Linked DNA regions of Drosophila melanogaster. The protein of the gene in region 4 interacts with the protein of the main gene of each other region in a pairwise test. Each region holds a gene or a part of one and is shown on either strand. Other genes may lie near its edges. The genes, in order: Cdc5, CG11349, mahe and CG13627.

Region 1 (5,866 bases), on a different chromosome or scaffold from region 4:
GCCAGCCCTGCAACATGATGATGAACCATGAGAGCACCTTGCAACAGCACTTTATTGGCAAGAAGCACCTGAAGAGGGTAAAAAACCTTTCCCAAACTGAGAAGAACGTGTAAAGAATTTATTTGATATACCCTAAGCCTAAGCCATGACTTCCCGTTAGCAGTAAAGCTTCCTTAATAATAATGACATTCGAGTTTGGGAAACAGCTATTTTGTTTAAGAAAGGCATTATAAAAACCGTAATTTGTTATCATACCCATTACTCATAGAGGGGTATATTAAACTCGTTAAAAGGAATACAAATTTCTATCGATATGCCAAGATAATTTTGAAATTTCTCTCTCAAACTCACTCCCACTATCTGGTATCTGATAGTCGAGAAATTCGACTATAACATTCTTTCTTGTTTAAAAAAATTGTCTAAATTTAGGGATTCAAAAGTGGTTTACCGATGATAAGCTTTCTTGAGCCCCACTTAATATGATCACAAGGTTTAATTTCTTTTCTGCATTTATTTTTAAAATTATTCGCCGTTGTTATTTCGTAGATAAATCGGTAGTGGTCAACTTTTTTTTATTAACTGTCAGGCCAAAAACAAATGGAATTTAAAATAGTTCAAATCAAATTCGAATACGAAAATAAGTGTTGTATTTTGAAAAAGAAAAAAAATTCGTAATTTCACACCATGGCCGAGGAGATAGAGGTTGAGGAGACGGAGGACTTCCACGACATGGACTTCAATGACGAAGAGCCATCCTGTAGTGGAGGAGCTGTCCAGGCCAGGACGGAGCGCTTTGTGGTGAAGAAATGGGTTGCGCACGCCATGTGGGGATGGGACGTAGCAGTGGACAACTGTGCCATCTGCCGTAACCACATCATGAACCTGTGCATCGAGTGCCAGGCGGACCCGAATGCAAACCAAGACGAGTGCACTGTGGCTTGGGGCGAGTGCAACCACGCATTCCATTACCACTGCATCGCGCGCTGGTTGAAAACGCGCCTGGTCTGTCCGCTGGACAACAAGGAGTGGGTCTACCAGAAGTACGGCCGCTAGCGAGGAATATGGATCGGGATATTAGGTGGTGATAGCTGTTTGCTGGCATGTAATTACTGTAATTAAATAAGAACGGACTTGGGTTCCAAAAGAAGGTTTACGCTTCCTGGTCGGGCAGGAGTTGCTGGGCCGTGGGCCTGACGCCAGTTATATGTTCGATTTGAGAGTAAAGCGAATCGCGCTCCTCCACTAAGCTAGCGTACTTTTGCTGCAGCTCCTTCTCGCGGTCCATCTGGCGACGCACGTCCTCTTGCAGCGATTCCAGGCGTCGCGGCACAGCGATGGCCTCCTGTTCGCCCAAAAAGCGGAATGTCGAGAGTGAGACAGAGTTCTGCTCAATCTGGCCGTACGTGTCCTGAAGCTGCTTAATCAGCACCTGGGCGCGCGCCTGGTAGCCGCCGGTGAGAATCTTCAGCTTCTTCTCGATCTTGCCGCAGCGCTTGGCTTCCTTGGCCATGTGGCGGCGATTTGTCTCCAGCCGTTTCTCGGCAGACTCTAATCGATCCTTCTTGCTGGCCAAATTGGCGCGTGTGTAGCGATGTTGGGAGGGTAGGTAAAGAACCTGGCCGAGGCACTCCTGCCACACCTGGGCATAAACGTCTAGGGGCAGTTCGCCATGCGCCATGCGCTCCTTCACCACCTCCATTTCCTCGGTGAGCATTTGCTTGGCCTTCGCCAACTCTTGCTGCGAGATGTCCTCGTAGGGATTGGCCTTAAAGTAGCTTTGTAGCTGTTCCAACTTGTGCTGCGATTGACCAGGCACGGGATCCTTGACCGAGTCGTACACTGCCAAGAAAAAGGACGTTAGTTACTTGGGTTAAAATGGAAACGTTGGGTTTACTCACGCTGCATGGTGATCATTTCGTGTTTAATCAGCTCTTCGGCCTGCTGCTGTTCCGTAAGGTTCTGTTTCTCGGACTGCGGTCGCAGAATCTTGGTGTTCACTTCAGTTGGTCGCGGGAGACTACGCTGAATAACCTGGGAGCGCTTCTCTAGCTCTCGCTTTCGGCGCGCCTCTTGTTCAGCCAATAACCTGGCGTCGACATCCGCCTGATCCTCGACGGCGGGTTCTGAGTTGGTCTCAATGCGTTCGCTTTCCTCCTGCTCAGGCACCACGATCTCATAGTCATTCCGTGGAGCGGGCAGCGTGGAGAGACCGTCACGCAGTGTAGACTTTAGTTGCTTTTGGTAGTTTTTGTAATGTGCTGGGGTCTCGGTGACGCCCATACTCTCCTCAGGATTGATGCTTAGCTTGTCCCTCACGTAGGCAGGTGTATTGACGACACCCGTAGCCCCTCCTGCCCCCTTTACGGGAACTAGGGCTCCGGAGGAGGGCGTTTGGAATCCGCCGGGAGTGGCTGCTCCGCCCTCGCGTTGGGTTCTAAACGGCGTGGCAATCACTGTGTTAGGCGTGGCGATGGAGGCCGCCTTGGGCAGCACGCCGGAGAAGTCTGACTCGTGCAGCGGTGTGTTCAGGCCACCTTTGAGTGGCGTCTCTGTGTGGGTGAGGGCCATCATGTTTTGGGCCTCCTGCATGATGCGATCGGTGTACGGAGCCGGAGTACGTGGAGTGGCTGCTACCTGGGGTGTAATGGAGTAGTCGGCTAGCAAAGCATCCGTCGTCTCTATGCCGCTCTCACCGGCAATTTCCTTTGCCATCTCACTGGCGCGTCCCAGCTTGACTACCTGCTGTAGTTCCATGTCGGAAATCTGCGGCGTAGGCAGGACTAGTTTGGAGCGCTTCCGCTCGGGCTCCATGTTTTGCAGCATTGCGGTGGGCACTTCATTCTCTTTGCGCTGCTTCAGCTTCTGCTTGTCCCGCTTGCGTTCGCGTTCCTCCTTCTCTGAGCGGAGTTCTCCATCTAGGTCCTGCTGCCGCATCTTGTTGAAGTCGGGTTCATTTTTCTGCAAGTGTTCCTCGGAAGTGTCGTAGAATCCGTGGGCAGGTCGCTTTTCGAAGGGAATCTCGGCGTTGTAGTCTATTCCCTTGATCCGCTTGCGATTTCCGCTGCCAATTCCGGCGGCACGAAGTTCGCGCCGCTTTTGGAGAGTGGCCAGGCGGCGGGCTTCCTCCAGTTGCTTTTCGCGAGCCTTGCGCTTGGCTTTCTTGCCTTGCGTGTTGGCCAAGCGGGCGCGTGCCTCGGACAGCATTTCCAGCTCGTCCTCGTCCATGTCCTTGGGATCGGGCCGCGCCGGCTTGGTCTCTGGATTGGGGTCAATCTCTCCGGGCTTCAACTTGCGAGGATCATCCATCGTGTCCTCGCCATCCTCTTTGCGTTGGGCTTGGTCTCTGTACGGCAGGAAAGGGATCAGAAATTTTCTACTTAGTATGTTGTGCGTTGGACTCACAGCAAGTACTCATAGCGCTCCAGGCACTGGGCTGCCGTCCGTCCGATGATCGGGGCTATGGTGCGCCACTGCGTCGGCATCAGCTTGGCCAAGTGGAGCAGTTTCTCGTCCTCCTCACGGGACCACTCGGTCTTCTTGATGCTGGGATCCAGCCACTCGTACCACCTGGCCTTGCACTGCTTGGCGGACTTTCTGTGCAGGAGGGAGGCAATTCGACTCCACTGGTTCTTGCCATATTTCATAACCGCAGCTTTGAGGATTTCATCCTGGGAAAATGAAATCGGTAGCCAATGTAAGCCATGTGTGGTTAACCGATAGACTATTGGGATAATTACCTCCGTGTTGCGCCACACGCCGCCCTTGATCATTATTCGCGGCATTCTGGGGCCTTATGTTGCTTTCTGTCGCGTATACAATGGATTTTCACAATTTTCACTCGAGTCCACGAAACTCCGCTCTTTTTTTTGCAGTAGCCGCTAGCGATGGTTAGTCTTCGATAACAGCGATATCTCCAGCACGTTTTGGTATATTTATAGAACCTCTAGTTAAACTATTCTAGCTTAGTACAAAAAAATTTCATTATATTGTATTTAGTCTTCGTATACCGTTTGATTTAACTTCGGTCTTAATATTGGTAACTTAAATTATTCAATTTAATAAAGGGCCTATACACACGACATAACATAACGCGACAGTGTGACCGAATATAGTTGTGCAAACACCGCTGCCACACTGTGTACAGCAACAGCTGTTCGCTATCAGTTATTTTGTGATGAAAAGTTTTTTTTCTGCGTAATGCCAATTTTTGTGATGCGGAATTAAGAGGCGTGTGCCCAGGAAGCGGAAAACCGGCAACCGGCAACCGGAATCCGGCACCGGGAATCAACTGGACCAAGGAAGGCACCCACGATGAGCGATGCGACCTATCCGGGATATTACGGCGGCAACCAGGTGAGCAACCAGCGAGTACCTCTGGCCAGAAAAACACGCCGTGTGTCTTCCAGCTGCTCCCGTTGTCGCATCCGCATCCTACACATCCGCACCAAGACCTGTCGCTTTCCACGCCGGTTCACTCCTTGGAGCAGGACTCCAACTTCGGGGGATTCTTTGACGAAGAGCTGGTCATCGGATCGGGATCCGGATCTGCCTCCGCGTCTGCTGCAAACACCACCCCTTCTGGAACTACTTTGTGGCTGGCCGATGGCGGGAATCGATCACCTACTGAGGTGGCGGTGGAGTCCCAGCCCAATCAGGGCATTCCCTTTGTCCAGATCCACACCACCGACTTGCAGCAACCAGAGAAAAGCTACCGCAATGCCTTCCGCAGGCGTACAGCGGAAATTAAGTCGGAGGAACTAATCAAGTCGGAACTTGCGGAAGCGGCAGCCAAGGATCGCCTGAATGCCACGCCAACGCCACCAACTCGAAATTCCAGCTGCGCCAGCGTGGAGGGCAAGGCAATCATTCAGGAGGGTCCGCCTCTTATCCTGCGCTGTCCTAATTGTCCATTCTTAAGCCTCTGCCAGATGCGTCTTCAGCAACACCTTAGTCAGGGCAACTGCTATATGGAGCAGCACAGGAAACAGTGTCCAGGTGAGGCATAGTGCGCCTTCAATATGAGTGCTCTGCTGGAATGCTTCATCATATTTGCATTCACTTTTCACGTGTTTTTCGACAGGCTGCTCAAACATTTTCTACACCAGCGATGCGCTCAGCTTGCACCTCAGCTTGGACCATCAAATGGAGGACAGTGAGACACTTGCGCTTATGGGCAGAAAAGTCACTGAAGCACAAACTAAAAAGCAGACTCAGATGTCGCAGAGCCAAAATCGACCCAAGAGCCGCATCTTTATAAAAAGCGTAGATTGCCTAAGGGAGCCACTCCCGGATTTCCCGCCCTTAATGCCGGATAGCGGGTCCGCCGCTAACATTCTTGATCTGCTGGAAGGTGTGGCTGTAGGTGCATCGCCGACCGAACAGACAATGCCAACAGCACCTGCTGCGAATTTACCAGCTCCGCCGCCAAAGCCCATCCAGAAGATCTCCATCAAGAGCGTGGACGTGCTCAGGGAGACCGCTTTGCTGCCGTTCGACTTCCAGCTGCAGAACCATTCGGTCAATACGGACAATAGTCTCCCTGAAGTTCCTGATGTTGTCGGGGAGCCGGAGAAGCCGCGCCAGCCGAAGATTTATATCCGCAATGTAGACATCCTCAAGGAACCGATGGTTTTGCCATCTGCTCTGCCCGGTCTGGGATTCAATAGCACCATGCCGTCGGCAGCAGAGCCAGGACAAAGTGGCCTGGTTGTAGGAGGAGCAGATGGTGATGTCTTCCAGTCGGAGACACTACTAACGCCCACGTGTCAGCTTCCAGGATTCGAGCCCAGCCTCGCCCCGCTCGCACAGATGTGTTCCGAGGCATTTCCCTTTGATTCTGTGCTGAATGGCAATGGAGCACCTGCCG
Region 2 (4,303 bases), on a different chromosome or scaffold from region 4:
GGATCGATTTAAAAATAGCTCTCTGCTACTGTTTCTATTAACCCAATATCGGGTTTAGTCTTAGCAAAAGCTTGGGTGAATTAAAAAAGCTCTTCTTCAAGACGAAACCAAACTATCAGGTTTGCGATAAAATTGTTTTGGCAAAAAAATTAAGCTGTGATACGTGTATTCTTATGAATATTTATATTTAATATGACAGCAAAAAAATGAGAGTTTTAAATCCAAACTCCATGGCGTACCTAACTGATAAAAACAAGCCCCATATGGCGTCGTGGTCGAGGTATCTGTTTGCCCAATTAAACAAATTTTTCGACGCGAAGAAAAACGTTTCGTTGATTTATGATACTCAGCACTTCCGTTTGGATCCGCAGATTCTCCGACTTGTATAAAAGTACAGGAGTCGCCGGTCTAAGATATTATTCGGTTCGTTGCTCCTAAAGCAAACAGATCATCTAAAATGGTAAGGATCTCCCATCTGTATTGCGGATTATATTAGTTGGCATATTATTCTATTTCGATTTTTCCCTGTAGAAATTCTTTATCTTGACCTTGGCCGTGGTTGGCTGTGTGGCCGCCGAATCTGGCTACAACTACAATGCTCCCCGCCAGGTAGCCGCCTCTGCCCCGGCTCCTGTTTTCCAGCAAGCTGCCTCTGCTCCGGCTCCAGTGAGGACCTACGTGCCCCCAGCTCCAGCTGCCTCTGCCCCAGTGCAGTCGTTTGCCCCTGCCCCAGCTCCAGTAGCTGCTCCTGCTCCCGTTTTCCAGCAGGCCGCCTCTGCACCCGCACCAGCCCGCACATACGTGCCTCCCGCTCCCCATGTCCACCACCATGCCGCCGCCTCAGCTCCAGCTCCCGTTCAGTCCTTTGCTCCTGCTCCAGCTCCCGCCCCCGCCCCCGTGCAGTCCTTCGCCTCTGCTCCAGCTCCTGCTTTCGAGTCCTCCGGACCGGTGTTCGAGGCCGCAGCTTCCGCCCCCTCTGCCGCCCGCTCCGGATACGATTATAGCCAGCCCGCCGCCAGCCAGCAGGGATACAAGTACAAGACCGTCCGTCGCCGTGTGTTCAAGCACCGCGCTTAAACGATGATGATGATACGATAAAATGCGACAATAAAAAACTCGAATATTAAATTTATAAAAACATAGTTTTATTTGAGCATTAAAACACTAATAAAGATAATATGATAATTTGATAATTAAACAAGAATGATATGGTGTATAGTTTTAGCAAAAGAAGCGCGCAAAAAAAAAAACTATAAAACCTAAAACAACATTTCAAAAGTGCTAAAATTCTTGCTAGAAAAGAAAAAAAAAATCGCAAAATTAAATTTTATTAATAATTGTTAGTTAGTACTGGAGTGCAGTTTTTCTTATCCATAACTAACAATCAGTTGTTAATGATAAATTAGTTTGAAGCTTCAATTGTATTACTAGGCCAAATTCACACCTGGAAACGAAGTTCAAAGAACCCATGCGTTATCGCATAAGTGTGCAGCGCACTTGGGCCAATAAATTTAAACGCTTTGATCTGACAAATTTACGGGACACTTTCGTTGTGCTTCAGAATATTCAATAGAATTTAAATTGGCGGCTATTCAATAAGAACAAATGGGTCACATAAAGCGCGGAATCGATTTCTCACGCTCGGCAACAGGTTTCGCTTTCAACTGTGGTCTTTTTTGGGGGCTCGATGTGGGGATGCAACAAAAAAGATCCCGAAGAGAGTATATAAGTTGCATCTACAGCTGCTTACAGTCACTGGCACTTTAGCAATGGTAACGGATCAACGATAGGTTCTAGGTTCCGCATTTCACCAATCCATTTTTATTTTAGAATGTCCTCGTGATCCTGGTTCTATGCCTTATGGCAATCGCATGTCTGGCGGACGTTTCCCATGTGAAACACCACAAGCACCAGCGGCATCATCACTCCAGGGATCACGAAGATGACGATGAGGAGTCCCATTACCTACCTCCCCACGAGGAAAAGGAGGTGGAGCAACCTTTTTACAAGAAGGAGAAGCACACCAGTGAAAAGGTGGTTTACCACAAGGTAGAGGAGCACGAGGAGCCCAAATACTACAAGGAGCATCAACATGAAGAGCCCAAAAAGCAGCGAGTGGATCACTACCATCACTATGACAAGAAGCCAGAAGTAAAGACCCAGCACATTCACTACAAGCATAGCAAGCCCCATGTCCGTACGGATTACAATCAGGACTTGTTCACCCCAGCTGCTACCCAAGTGGTTTATCGCCGCCGTCGTCCTAGTCGAATTCTATACGCCAGTGCCCCCAACTCGGTGTTCCACACCCACACGCAGATCAACGTGCAGTCCCAGGATTCGGAATTGAATTCCCTTACTCGCCCAGATCGTGCAGCAGGAGCACAGGATCCTGCTGGGGCTCAAGCACCGACTGGAGCCCAGGCACCAGGATTTCGACCCAACTGCCAGTTTGTTGGACCTGGAAACGTACCACCTGGCTGTGGACCCTCTGATCCCATAGGTGCTCAGCTACCAGCCAGTGCTTTGGCTCCCACTGGTGCTAATCTTCCGGCCAATCAACCTGTTGCCGGCGGACAATTGGCTGTTCTGGGTAACGGTCAGCGACCTCCACGTCCAGGTGGCTATGGAGGTGGATATGGCAACCGACTCAACTTTTTTGTTGATCCTTCGCTGGGCGCTCAGCTGGGAGCCATAGGTAATGCTGGAGCTGGAAATCAACAGGCTGCCGGAGGAGGTCAGCTTGCGGGAGGAGCTCAACTTGGAGGGAGCCAAGGATTCGACCCTTCCTTTGGTGCCCAAGCAGCTGCCGGAGGACCATTTAACACTGGTTTTGGAGCTGGTCAAAGACCTCAAAGACCTGCGCAAAACCAATATGATCCCAACCTTCAGCTAGGTGGCCCTTTTGACCCCTCCGTGGGTGCTCAATTGGGCGCAGGTCAGGGTGTTTCTAACCAAAGACCAAGTGGACAGGGAGCATTTGATCCTTCTACAGGTGCTCAATTGGGCGCAGGTGAGGGTGTTTCTAACCAAAGACCAAGTGGACAGGGAGCATTTGATCCTTCTACGGGTGCTCAATTGGGTGCAGGTCAGGGCTTTAACCAGAGACCAAGTGCACAGGGAGCATTTGATCCTTCGACAGGTGCCCAACTTGGAGCTGGACAAGGCGTGCCTAACCAGCGACCCAATGCAGCTGGACCAGGAGCTTTTGATCCCAATCAGCGACAGTCCGACCCCTCCATTGGAGCCCAATTGGCAGCGGGACAAGTACCACGCCTCAACAACCGACGACAGCGCAATCGATCCAACTACCAGGGTCTCAATGTGCTGAATGGAAACGTTTTCGGACAACCCCATCTCCAGGGACCCACAAATGCGCTGGGAAATCAACAGGACACCAACATCATAGACGGCAACTTCTACAGCGATCCTCATCATGGACACCAGCGGGCTTTGGTATCGGTTAATCCTAATCAGCGTTCAGTCCTTATACCCGATGACGATGATGCGGACGATGATGGGCAGCTAGGATTTCTGGGCTTTGCGGCTAGTAACAAGCAGTCCTCTTATGTGGTTGCTCCCAAACAACTGCGATCTCATAGGCGCAGTTCAAAGCGAAACAATGTGGATCTTAAAACATCTGCTTCGGAGTACGACACTGACTATCGTGAGGATGGCTATCACTACCAGAAGCCCAAACAGTCATTCGAGTTTTAAGTATTTTAAAACAGAACATATTATAACATAAATTAAATCATACTTATCAGCATTTGCTACAAGAGCATACCAAACAAACCTTGATTACTTATTTAAAGCATACTTTCAGGCGAAAACTATGGCGGCTACTTCCGTTTCCGCTCAAGGTAGCTTTAAAGTTTGTTGAGAAATCGACACGGGTTTTCAAGCTGAGCTTTATAAATTGAGCTTTTGATTAAGCTTTACACCAGACTACAAATATCTATATTGCACATAAAAATATCCAGATATTTACCAACTATGTATATTTGATTTTTTTGTTTGCCTTTAAATTACATACATTAACATAAATATACACGTGCAAATAGATTAGGGCATTTATGTTCTGGCCATATCTGCGATTGCCTTTGATGGAAAAGGTGTATATATTGTCCATTAGGGTACGCGGAAAGGAAACTAGTTCAGAGCTATATAGAAATAGAGGCACAAAGACATTTTTTTTATAGTGAGAGAGGCAAAATGAATTGTCGACATAAATTTATGCAATCATTTAGATTCGATTCTCATGCAAATCCAATCAACTGAAATCAAAATAGAAATAAAACAA
Region 3 (4,652 bases), on a different chromosome or scaffold from region 4:
GGTGCCTGGACGTTGGCGTCCGCGAGGTGACCACCTTTGCCTTCAGCATCGAGAACTTCAAGCGTTCCAACGAGGAGGTGGAGGGTCTGTTCAATTTGGCCAGAGAGAAGTTTGCCCGCCTGCTGGAGGAGACTGCTCGACTGGACGAACATGGCATCCGCATTCGGGTGATTGGTAACATCGAGCTACTGCCACACGACTTGCAGAAACTAGTGGCTTCGGCTATGCTTAGCACGGAGCGCAATGACAAGCTCTTCCTGAACGTCGCCTTTGCGTACACGTCGCGGGATGAGATTACGCAGGCGGTGGAAACGATACTGCGGCATGGCAGCCAGGATTTGGCGGGCGAGGACATCAGTGAGCGGTTGCTGGAAGAATGCCTCTACACGCGACACTCGCCGCCACCGGATCTGGTGTTCCGCACCTCCGGCGAGACTAGGCTAAGCGACTTCATGATGTGGCAGGTGTGTAGAAGGATCTCTTCCAGGAACAGTTGTTTTTAGTCACCCCCTTTGGCAGATTTCCCACTTATTTAGTTTGATTAGTGATTAAGTAGTTACCTGTGCCCAATGTTCATTCGTTGAATTTCGCTCTGCGATTGCATCATTTTTATAAAATGCATTTAAAAATTGAGATCTTGACAGTTTTGCGGTCTTTGATAAAGTGGAAAAGCTTAAATATTAAACGACTGTTTTTACCATTTCAGTTAAGCACATCCGTGTTGTACTTCAGCAACGTCCTGTGGCCGCAGATCACTTTCTGGCATTTCCTGGCCAGCATTCTGGCCTACCAGCGTGATCGCTGGCAGCTGGACGACTTTCGGCGAGCGGAGAGGATGCAGAGCTGCCAGCTGGCCAAGGCGACTGACTTCTACAGCGAACGCGTCCAGAATTTCCTGACCACCATCGATGAGGATCGGCGGAAGCTGCTTGTGCGACTGGCCGCCAACTAAGTCCCTTCTGAAGTCCCGCCTGAAGTCCCTTCGATTTCCACATGATGATGATGTTTGTGATATCAGTGGGGAATAAAATCGTGTAAATAGCGTATACCTGTACGTACAGATGCTACTGTTTTCCGGCCTATGCAATAAGGCTATCCGCCTTTCAATATATGTGCCGTTGGAGATTTCATCACCTAAATGCACTTGTTTAAGACATTCAATTAATTTGTAGCCGAATTGTGGGCTTAGCTAGATTGTTTTCACTTTCGGTCGTAAAAAGTGTTTGCCTTCCATTTGATAAGTAAATTAAAGAATTAAAAAAAAAGCAACAATTTGTTTAAATGTGGAGGGGGGAAAGGAATAATTCCAAATTTATGTAAATTGCAATATAACACCCACTTATATTTGTATATTTTATATATATGTACATATGTGTAGCCTTTTAAGAATTGGTATCACAAAACTTTTTTTACGTGCTTAATTTATTTTTATCTAGATATCATTCTTGTATTTTTTATATATCAATTTATTTTGGTAACTCGCTAAATGTTTTTTAATTTTAGTATTTGTTGGTTTTAAATTTTAGCGGTAAATTAAGTGCAATAATGGTTAAACAATATTTATCGATAGTTTTGCAGGTAACTATCGATGCCAAAATACATCGAACGTATCCCATCACCATTGACTTTTGTTCCAGCTTTACAGTTCACATGCAACTTTCTGCTGAGCGCGTTTTTTTTTGTTATAAAAATCTAAAATACAAGAATTAGATTTAGCGAACTGGCTCCTAGTGTTTAACCAAGTACACCTTTAGTTAGCATTACGGTTACTTTCCCGTGGCGAAGGAATAATTGCAAAACCATTAGCTCTCGACAAAAGTTGTGCGAAGCAAAAAGAGAAGTTCGCGAGAAGAAGACGCCTGTGAGCGTGACGAAGAGAGCCGAGCGAGAGAGTGAAGAATATCGAATCGAACGGAACAGGGCCTCGAAAGAGAACGTGAAGGAAACGGATCGAAAAATCGCAGACTTTGACAACCGAAGAAAAACCCACATTCAAGACACAAAATTCCGGTTGCCTGAGGGGCAAATGTCAAATTGCGGCGCATAAATTACATTAATTTAAAGCTCCCCGCACAAGGCTCATCCAAATTTTCACACATAGGCAGCAGTTGTCGCAACAGAAAAAAGGTGAGTGCGTGTGTGTGTGTGGCGTGAAAAAGCGGTGCACTTTTTAAAAGTGTTTTTCTAACTAAATGAGAGCGTGCTCGCGCTTCTTTACCTATGCGGCGCACTCTACTTGTGTGTGTGTGGCGTGAAAACGCGGTGCACTTTTTAAAAGTGTTTTTCTAACTAAATGAGAGCATGCTCGCTCTTCTTTCCCTTTGCGGCGCACTCTACTTGTCTCTCTCGCGCCTGGTTTAGCTCTCCCGCTATTATTTTACCTCTTTGCGTCTCGTGTGCATTTGGCGATGCTGTATTGATTTTTTTCGGTGGTGGCTAGTGGGTGGGTTAAAGAACTGCCCCGCTCTTCACCATTCGAAACTAAGTCCCCCACTTCGTCCGACCCCCTCCCTCATGCCATAAAGCCCCTGCCCAAAAAGTCAAACGCGTTTCGTTTCTCTTTTTATTTTTACTCTGAGAGAGAGAGAGAGGCTCTTGACAGTTACAAAAGTGCAAAGTCTTTGTGGTGGTGTGTGCGAGGTATCTCCATGCGATTTCGCTGAACTTTTGTTCATTTCTCGACAGGATTCAGCACACGATGTTCGCTGGAGCATATGCACCCAACGCTGGGGGCGTTCAGCAGCACACTGGCGGCGGTTACTATGGCAATGGTGCCGCAGCAGGCGCTGGCGGTAGCGGCAACGGGGCCCCACGCCACGAGCGTCAATACTATCCGCGCGGCAATTTCGGCGGTGCCGCCGGGGGAGCTGGCATCAATGGAGCAGCCACTGCGGCTGGAAGCATGCACTTTGGTCAGCCCTATGGCGTGATGACCTATGGCATCCAGAATGGTCTGGGAATGGGAGCCGCCGGTTCTGGTGGCGGCAATCCGTATCGCCAGCAAAACGGTGTTGCATTCGCCGGTAATGGACTTGGAGGAGGCGCCGGTGGCGGATCCGGAGGATCTGGCGGATATGGAGGACAGCGTGGCAAAAATCCAACCTACGCACAGCGTTATCAGAAGCCGAACAACGGCGCCGGAGTTGCTGGTGGCTACCAAAGCAATAACTACAATGCTGCCGCCTTAGGCATGCTTTCCAAAGAGGAGCGCGCCGAGATCCAACGTGAAAAGGCCAAAAATCCCGGCCGAAATTTAGTGAAACCCAAGTGGGAGAACCTCGAGCCCTTCCTCAAAGATTTCTACAACATTCATCCGAATACACTGGCCAAATCAGAGCAGCAGGTGGCCGAGATCCGGCGCGAACTGGAAATCACCGTGTCTGGCAATGAACTACCACACCCGGTGGTCAGTTTCGAGGAGAGCTCGCTGCCCGCTCACGTCATTGAAGAGATGAAGCGCCAGGGATTCACCAAGCCCACTGCTATCCAATCGCAGGGTTGGCCCATTGCCTTAAGTGGCCGCGATTTGGTGGGCATTGCCCAGACCGGTTCAGGCAAGACGCTGGCATACATGCTGCCTGCCATCGTGCACATTGGCAATCAGCCGCCAATAATTCGCGGCGAAGGACCCATTGCTCTAGTGTTGGCCCCCACCCGGGAGCTGGCCCAGCAGATCCAATCTGTCGTGCGAGACTATGGACATCTGTGCAAGCCAGAGATTCGTCACACTTGCATCTTTGGCGGCTCATCGAAGGTGCCGCAGGCACGCGATCTTGACCGCGGCGTCGAGGTGATCATCGCCACACCAGGACGTCTGATTGATTTCCTTGAGAATCGCAACACTAACTTGCAGAGATGCACTTATCTGGTGCTGGACGAAGCCGACCGCATGCTGGACATGGGTTTCGAGCCGCAGATCCGTAAGATCATTGAACAGATTCGTCCCGACCGTCAGGTGGTCATGTGGTCCGCAACCTGGCCAAAGGAGGTGCAGGCCCTAGCCGGAGACTTTTTAAACGATTATATCCAAATCAACATTGGTTCGATGAACCTATCGGCTAACCACAACATTCGCCAGATTGTCGAGATCTGTACAGAAATAGAGAAGCCGCAGCGCTTAGTATGCTTGCTCAATGAGATTTCTCCCATCAAGAATTCGGGAAACAATGGGAACAAAATTATCGTCTTTGTGGAGACCAAGATCAAGGTGAGTTCTAATTCGATAAATGGCTTAAAGAATTCGAAATATTCTTTCGATTTACCATTTTAAATTGTATTTGTTCTCTTTTCGTTTTACTTCGAAGGTTTATCAACATATTCTTTGTTTTTTATAGTTGCATTTTACTTGCAAAAATCCGAAATGACCCGTCAAGAATATATTGTTTATGTGATATTAATTAGAAGCACCCCACTAATTATCAACCGTTTTCTTGCCCTTATCCAGGTGGAGGACATCTTGCAGATCATTCGAGCCGAGGGTTACAACGCCACCTCAATTCACGGCGACAAGACCCAGAATGAGCGTGATTCAGTGCTAAAGGATTTCCGTAACGGCAAGTCCAACATTCTGATTGCCACCGATGTGGCTTCGCGCGGCCTCGATGTCGAGGATCTGCAGTACGTAATTAACTATGATTACCCGAACTCCTCGG
Region 4 (7,081 bases):
TTTTACTGTAGTTAGATTTTTTGTATAGAATCAACGTTTGCAGATAAAAACCAAAACGAAAACCGAAACTAATATGATAATTTTACAGGTTTAAGGCGGAAATGTTCATTTTTTTAAGGAATAACGATATTAAGATATCATAATTAACATAACAAATTGCAACTAAAAAACCAAGCAAAAAAAGAAAAACGAAAAAATATTTTTTATAATTTCGCAGCACTTTCACATGATACCCGCACACGCACACATACACATCCGGCAATGTGTGCTAAATAAATTGTATAAATAATGCAAACCCAAAAAAAAAAAAAACAATGCAAATCATATTAATGTAGTTACATTTTTTTAGTTTTTACTCGCTATTTATATGAGGTATATTTACACAACGGAAAACGTAAAAGTAGACATAAATAAAACGTAAAAAGCGATAAAAAAAATTCATTAATTTACATTGAAATTAAAGTAAACTAAACCGAAATCAGAGCAGAAAGCATAAAATGACAAATTAGTTTAAAATGGTCCTGCAAAGGCAAAAACAACAAAAAATAAACAACATTTTAAATAACAAATTGAAGAGCTAAAAATGCATATTTTAAACATTTGTCTAAAACGCAACCGAAAGAAAAAACCAAAAGAAATGATAAATGTATGAAATAAAAGGTATAATAATAATATTATGTTGTTAATGTTTAAAAAACCTTGTTAAAAATAATATTTCAAAATAAAATATAAATACGGAAAAAAATAGCAAAGAAATTACCACCAAACTGAGAGCTTTATGAAAGTGAAATTTTGATTTATGTCCCAAAACTTTGGGCCGCCAAATACTGACCCAAAAAATGGCTGGCCGGGCGTTATAAAATTCCAATGACCAATTGCGTTTAGAAATTGGATGTCGCGCCTTGCATAAAATGCGACCAATTATTGGGGAGCGTTTCATAAGCATGTCTCATTATCATCGAAGGGCCTTTGGTATATGTACATCCGAAATGTGAAGCCTATCATACGGAATCCATTGGTTATGGAAATTGCATCCATTCGTTTTTGGGACACATCTGAATTAAGTTACATTACCATCAAATATCGCTTAAAATACAGCTCAAGCTTTTCTACGAAACCCTTAGCCCCCAATTGAGCTGACTTCCGTACAAAAACTAATTCGAAAAAGCTTTCACGCATTCCTTTGAGTCTTCGACGAGTTTAGCCAGATATTTAATGCAGTTAAATATGAGTTTAAAATTATTGGAAAAATATTGGCAACATCTTAAAAAGTATGAAAATGTTATAATAATATCTTATTATTCCCAAAATATTGTTTGGTTCCGCTTTAAAATGTTTGCTATTTTCCCCACTGTGCCTGCCGCATTTCGTAATTTCAATCGGTGGCTCTGCTCCTGTTTGCTGCCCCAGCAAAAAAAAAGACTTAAAAAGTGGGGCCAACAGGTGACAGACGGCGGCATTGGGGGGCCATCTCTTGATCATGTGCGCCTGGTCCGCATTGCTTTTTAAGGTAAAGAGCGAGTGCTGACTTGCGACGACAACAAGTTCGCTGCTTAAGTCTTTTGTTTGGCGCCGTCTCTTTCGCTCCTTTCTTTCGCCGGCCAAGAACAGTCAATGGGAAAACACTTTCGTTGCGATTAATCGGCCACTTGCTGGCAATTCATGTAGCTGCTGGTCGCGTGCTGCGCTTTATCCACTGCAAACTAGTTTTATTTGTTGGCTTTTTATTTATTTTATTTTTTTTTTTTTGTATTTCATTCGGCGCCAGAGTCAAGAAAATCCGACCACTTTCTTCAGTGCGCACTTCCAATGCGAGTCGTCACTCCATTCCAGTGGAACTCCAGCGGATGGGCACATGGTTTTTGTCCGCCACCAGCGACCAACTAACAGTCAGTTGTCTTCGCGACTTGAACAGGTGCGGACGTCGCTGCTCCTCGAATTTATATTCGAAACTCTTTACAAATCTTTTGTGCGTGCAGTTTAAGATCGAAGAAAGCGCCGCGGCGCTCGTTGACATGAAGTTAATTGACGTGATTATATACCTAATTGCCATTTTGATCTTCATCTATTTGCTGCTGGAGTAGCAGAAGAAGCCAAAAGTTGCTCGACATTTGCCCCAGAGCTTTCTACAGTCTACCAGATCCATCAGCCAGCTACCCGACAATAAAACAACGAAAATCTCTAGCAAATCCGAAAGAAGATGAGGGTAAGTGATTCACGCGGGTATTGTGAGTTTGTTGGCCACAATTAGCGGTTATTAAAAAGTCTCTCACTGCGCACAGCATAACACAATAATGGATTGGCTTTAATTTCTATTGCAAATTCAATGGCATTTCTTCTTCTCATCGGCGATCAACGACTTCAGACTGAGATTGGCATTCAAATTTGGTATCACCTTCACCTTCGCCAGCAAAGCCAGCAAATTGCAATCGCTGCACAATGAAGCTGTAGCTTCTTCAATTGAATTGAAGTCGTCGGAATATTTGTCAAATTGCAAGGTGGCCGGCAAAGCGAGCACTTTCATTTGCAATGGGAGCACTTGATGCGCCAAGTTTCGCCAAGATCCAGACAATGGATGGCTTTACGTGCACCAATTGCATCGCACACTGTGAGTTGCAAGCTGCAAACTGTGAGGCACAGGCGGCTGCCTCAATGTGCAGCGGGCTTGAAAATAAAATGCTTGCCGCTAAAATAAAAGTTGCATTTCGAGTTGCAATTTGGGTTAACCACACCGTTGTTTATGGTCGACGCTGTGGCGACAGCCCGCTGATCAATAGTTCCGCCTAGGCCGTTGGCAAAAATCCTTTGTCAGGTTCAATGGCACTGCCGGCCAAGCCCAAAAGGAAACCCGAAATTATGCGAATTCCATTTGGACTTTCGTTGAACGGGTTATCCGCCGTCGCCGTGGGCCATTCCCTGCCAGACTTTTCAGTGTTTGGCATCGGGCACCCGTCTCCTGGCAGCAGTTCATTCACCAGCAGGCCGCCCCTGGTATTTGCATATGATTATGATGCATGTTGCAATGGCGACAAACTAACTAACTTACTAACTAACCACTCCATAAACAATAAGCCACCAATTTTGTGGCAATTACCCCGATCACCGCCGCTGCAGTCAGTTTCAGTTGCAATCGGCAATCCGTTTAAGCAAACGCAGCACGTAATCAATAACTATACGTATTGGACTCGCCTAGGCATTTCACCTCTTGATTGACGTCTGGCTAACGGCACACCGTATTGCCATTGTCATTGCCGCCGCTCCGGTGGCTCCAGTGGCTCTGCTGGTGCGCTGCCCAGGTGAAATTTCAATGTCCAGTGGCCGCCTCAAATTACCCACTTCCCCTTCCATCGACGAGACTAAAGAGACCCATGCCAGCCGCGCTGAAGAGGCACATACTCATTCTTTTCAAGGAATAACATGCATTTCATTTTAATGGTTCCTATATATGTTTCTATAAAAATCTGACATTTTACGCCTTAATAAATTTATTAGATGCATGATATGTATTTCTTTCTTCGTTATTGTGTTATACCTAAACTAATAGAGCCATTCCCTTTAACCTATATAAAATGCATGAAAAATCCAAAATACTCGTATATAACGTATAAGGTAGGCTGTAAGTTTCTAAAGCCAATTTCAATGAAAGTGTCACCAAATGAGTCAGTGATGCATTATACCCGCCGAATTGTAAACAATGCGACAGTAAAATTTATAGAACGAAGACATTTCGATGACGGACTTTTCACTTTCATTCTATGGCATTGTGGACAGAAAGTTTAATCAGCCATCGAAGCGGGGAAAATGGGCAAAGTATTATGGCATACCCGTATAAATATATATGTATGTATATTTATAAATGCGAAGCTACTTTGTTTGGCTCGTTTGCTTAAGCAGCTTTGGTTAAGTAGCCAATGGCAGGCGACGTGATAAAATTTTAGAAAACCGCCAATTTGTTCAAATTAAGGCCATTACAGTTTTGTTGCTGTCCAGCGATTACAAGACCCTCCTCCTTCCTCACCGCCCCTTTTTTTCTTCTTCGCCTTTGCCGGGCTTAGAAAGTTTTTATTTCTTTCGGCGTTTTGTTCGATGTCTGTATGTACGAGTAATTATGTTTTTGATTTAATGGTCTTTGACATTGTCCCATCCCATCCTCGCCAGCCATTTCTGCTGTTCGCACTGCTCCTGGCGCTGGCTAACTGCGAGCAGCGTCCACTGGTTTTCACCAACTGGCCACCGAAGAGCTCCAAGCAGCTGAGTCGTCCCGCCATTGGAGCTGGAGGTCCTGGATCCGCTGGAGCGCCTGGAAAGCAGCGCACGCTGGTCGTCCAAATACGCAGCGATCAACCGGTGCCCTTGGTACTGAAGGGTCGTCCTGGACATGGAGCGCACAGCCATGCCGCCCATCTGGCCCATCCGCATTCCGTGCATCCTGCACATGTCCTGTCGCACGCCCATTCACATGCCCATCTACACTCGCATCCGCTGATCCATGTGCCACATCAGTACCAGCATCAGCACCTACGCGGACCACCTCGTCCCATGAAGCTGAGTGGTCCGTCGCCCGTGTACCTGAAACCAGCTGGATCTCTAAGGAAACCACTGAAGATCAAACTGAACAATGTGAAGCCCAAGACGAAACCCACATTCGGATACGACAAGCCCTTTAAGTACGAGAAGCCCACTGCTGTGAGCTACAGCGAGCTGCAGAATCTGCCGGTAAGTGGAGTCCATTGAAAATGTCCTGCTCTTAAGATATCCTTATACTGCACATGCCCCCCACTCCCCTGAACATATAACATAACTCCATTCATGCTGATCCCCCACAGCTGGACACGCACAACAACTTCAACACCGAGCACTTTGCACCCATTTACACGGTACCCGCACCGAACCTGGCCGACAATCACCTGGACGTGGAGGAGGGTCATCTTGACACCTCCTACCTGTACAAGCCTCCTTCCCAGACCCAGATCCAAACACCATCCTCCTCAGCCCGTCCCCAGACATATTTGCCACCGAAGTACAGTGTGCATGAGGACGAGACCAATGACCAAACCATTCGTGATCCCATTTCGGGTTCGCAGAAACTCTTTGCCCCAGATCCGGATCCCTCGCTGCCCACCACCAAGATTCGCCCCGCCACCGAATCTTTCAATACGCCCAGCAACAACAAACCGCTGCCCGCCGACGTCCAGAGTAACCATCTGCCAGCCCAGCCATTGGTTCAGATTGTGGGAGCCCAGACGGCAGCCCAAACGGCGCCAGAGATCTATCCCATTCAGTATGCCCAGCCGGCGGTTCACTCCCAGTCCTTTATCGCCGCCATTCCGGCTGCCCACATTCCCATCTATAATCCCACCTACCTGGTGACGCAGTCCAACCAACTGTACTCGGCCCACAAGCAGCAGCTTTTCAAGCCCAGCTCGGAACCGGTGGTGGAAACGGGTTACGTGAACGCCGATCTCACCCAGGAGGTAGCCAGCAATGGACAGATACTGCAGGCAGCCAAGGATCCACATCACAACATCCATCCTGTACTTGATTCGGCGCCACAATATGCTGCTCTTATTGCCGCTCCGGCACTGGGTGATCCCAATGAGGGTGCCTACGAGACGGCCTCCTTCCACCTGCCCAATGTGGCGTCAGCGGTCACTGCCTCCGTTCCGGAAGGTGGCTTCGTGGTGTCCAACTTCTATGGCCATGCCCACGACTCTTCCCAATTGCTGCAGGCCTACGCAGAGGAGGAGGCACGTCGACAGCAACTGGAAACAGAGCAAGCCGCCATTGAGCTGCAAAAGCAGCAGCAGTTGCATCTGGAGGAGCTTAAGGCGCAGGCCCAGGAGCAACAGCAGCAGCATCAGCTGCATCTGGAGGAGCTGAGGGCTCAGGCGCAGTACCAGCAGCAGCAACAGCAGCAGTTCGAGGAACTGCAGGCACAGGCACAGGAGCAACACTTGCAGCAGCAACACCAGCAGCATCAGTTGCAGCTCTTGCAATTGCAGCAGCAGCAACAGCAGTTGCAGCAACCAGTGCAGCACCATCCGCCGCAGCAGCTGCAACAGCAGCAGCAGCAGCAGGTGGCTCAGGATCCAGCAGCAAGTGCATTCGAGGAGCACCAGCGATTGGTGCAGCAGCAACTTGGCGCCAACACGCCACTTCGCATCTTTGTGCCCGACGAGGAGGCCGCCGAATCGGTAGGTAAAATTAGACAAGAAATTCTTCCGTATGCTAACATTTGAGACTTTCCTTGTATAGCGACTGCAAAAGAGATCGGATGATGTGAAAAAGGGCACGGTGGAGGATGTGTCCAGTGCGGGTCGGAACGACGGCGACAGCGAGGAGTCAGCCAAAGATTTGTTCGAGGTATCCACCTCCGTCGAAGTGGCCGGCGAGCATCTCACGGCCAGCAGTAATTAGTTAACGCACTTTTAGTCTTCGACGCTGTTCAAAAATATTTATTTACACACTCATTTGTAAAAAACGCATTCATGTAGCGAGCAGTCGGTAGTTAATAAAAATAACCATTAATTTATTCAAATATTCGTTAGCGTTCTTTTTGAATGGATATAAGTTTTTGTGTTATCGATACATTGTAATGCTGGTGAGATAAAAATACAACTGCACTCTGGTCACACTCATGACAAGTAAAAACACATTTTACCAAAAACATTGTTGTGATTGCACATTTTTCGTGATTTAACTAAGAATTAGAGCCTGATCTACAAAATGATTATTCCAATCCGTTGTTTCACCTGCGGCAAGGTCATTGGCAACAAGTGGGAGTCGTATTTGGGTCTCCTGCAAGCGGAATACACCGAAGGGTAAGTCACGCGGGAAAGTCTCCTTTCCACGCCGCATTTCATCATATAATATATATATATTATATCTTACAATCCAATCCCAGAGATGCCCTGGATGCTTTGGGTCTAAAGAGGTACTGCTGCCGTCGCATGCTCCTGGGCCACGTGGATCTTATCGAAAAACTGCTCAACTATGCTCCTCTGGAGAAGTGAACGGCACAATGGAAACCATCCAAACTGGACTTGGGAATAAAAACTCTAGATTTTATTGTAAAATTACA

What was found.
Region 1: the proteins of CG13627 (region 4) and Cdc5 interact in a two-hybrid assay, tested with the Drosophila melanogaster proteins (one large-scale study listed by BioGRID).
Region 2: the proteins of CG13627 (region 4) and CG11349 interact in a two-hybrid assay, tested with the Drosophila melanogaster proteins (one large-scale study listed by BioGRID).
Region 3: the proteins of CG13627 (region 4) and mahe interact in a two-hybrid assay, tested with the Drosophila melanogaster proteins (one large-scale study listed by BioGRID).

The regions. Positions count from the first base shown.
Region 1 is NT_037436.4:357,347-363,212, forward strand, and holds Cdc5 (cell division cycle 5), read right to left. Parts: upstream 4,038-5,866; 5' UTR 3,783-4,037; coding exon 3,738-3,782; intron 3,669-3,737; coding exon 3,403-3,668; intron 3,344-3,402; coding exon 1,899-3,343; intron 1,840-1,898; coding exon 1,151-1,839; 3' UTR 1,054-1,150; coding exon of another isoform or gene 685-1,053; 3' UTR 505-684; downstream 1-504. Other genes in the region: CG1231 (uncharacterized protein), read left to right, coding at 1-113; Roc1b (regulator of cullins 1b), read left to right, coding at 685-1,053; CG1233 (uncharacterized protein), read left to right, coding at 4,312-4,353, 4,407-4,995, 5,081-5,866.
Region 2 is NT_037436.4:4,471,308-4,475,610, forward strand, and holds CG11349 (uncharacterized protein), read left to right. Parts: upstream 1-1,760; 5' UTR 1,761-1,769; coding exon 1,770-1,772; intron 1,773-1,830; coding exon 1,831-3,717; 3' UTR 3,718-3,788; downstream 3,789-4,303. Other genes in the region: CG32248 (uncharacterized protein), read left to right, coding at 458-460, 532-1,077.
Region 3 is NC_004354.4:7,928,349-7,933,000, reverse strand, and holds the start of mahe (maheshvara), read left to right. Parts: upstream 1-1,618; 5' UTR 1,619-2,127; intron 2,128-2,685; 5' UTR 2,686-2,698; coding exon 2,699-4,207; intron 4,208-4,444; coding exon 4,445-4,652. Other genes in the region: Dhdds (dehydrodolichyl diphosphate synthase subunit), read left to right, coding at 1-464, 707-952.
Region 4 is NT_033777.3:24,710,892-24,717,972, forward strand, and holds CG13627 (uncharacterized protein), read left to right. Parts: upstream 1-1,888; 5' UTR 1,889-2,015; coding exon of another isoform or gene 2,016-2,084; 5' UTR 2,085-2,200; coding exon 2,201-2,206; intron 2,207-3,892; exon of another isoform or gene 3,893-4,086; coding exon of another isoform or gene 4,087-4,092; intron 4,093-4,158; coding exon 4,159-4,716; intron 4,717-4,826; coding exon 4,827-6,194; intron 6,195-6,255; coding exon 6,256-6,417; 3' UTR 6,418-6,539; downstream 6,540-7,081. Other genes in the region: CG46316 (uncharacterized protein), read left to right, coding at 2,016-2,084; Polr2L (RNA polymerase II, I and III subunit L), read left to right, coding at 6,727-6,821, 6,905-7,013.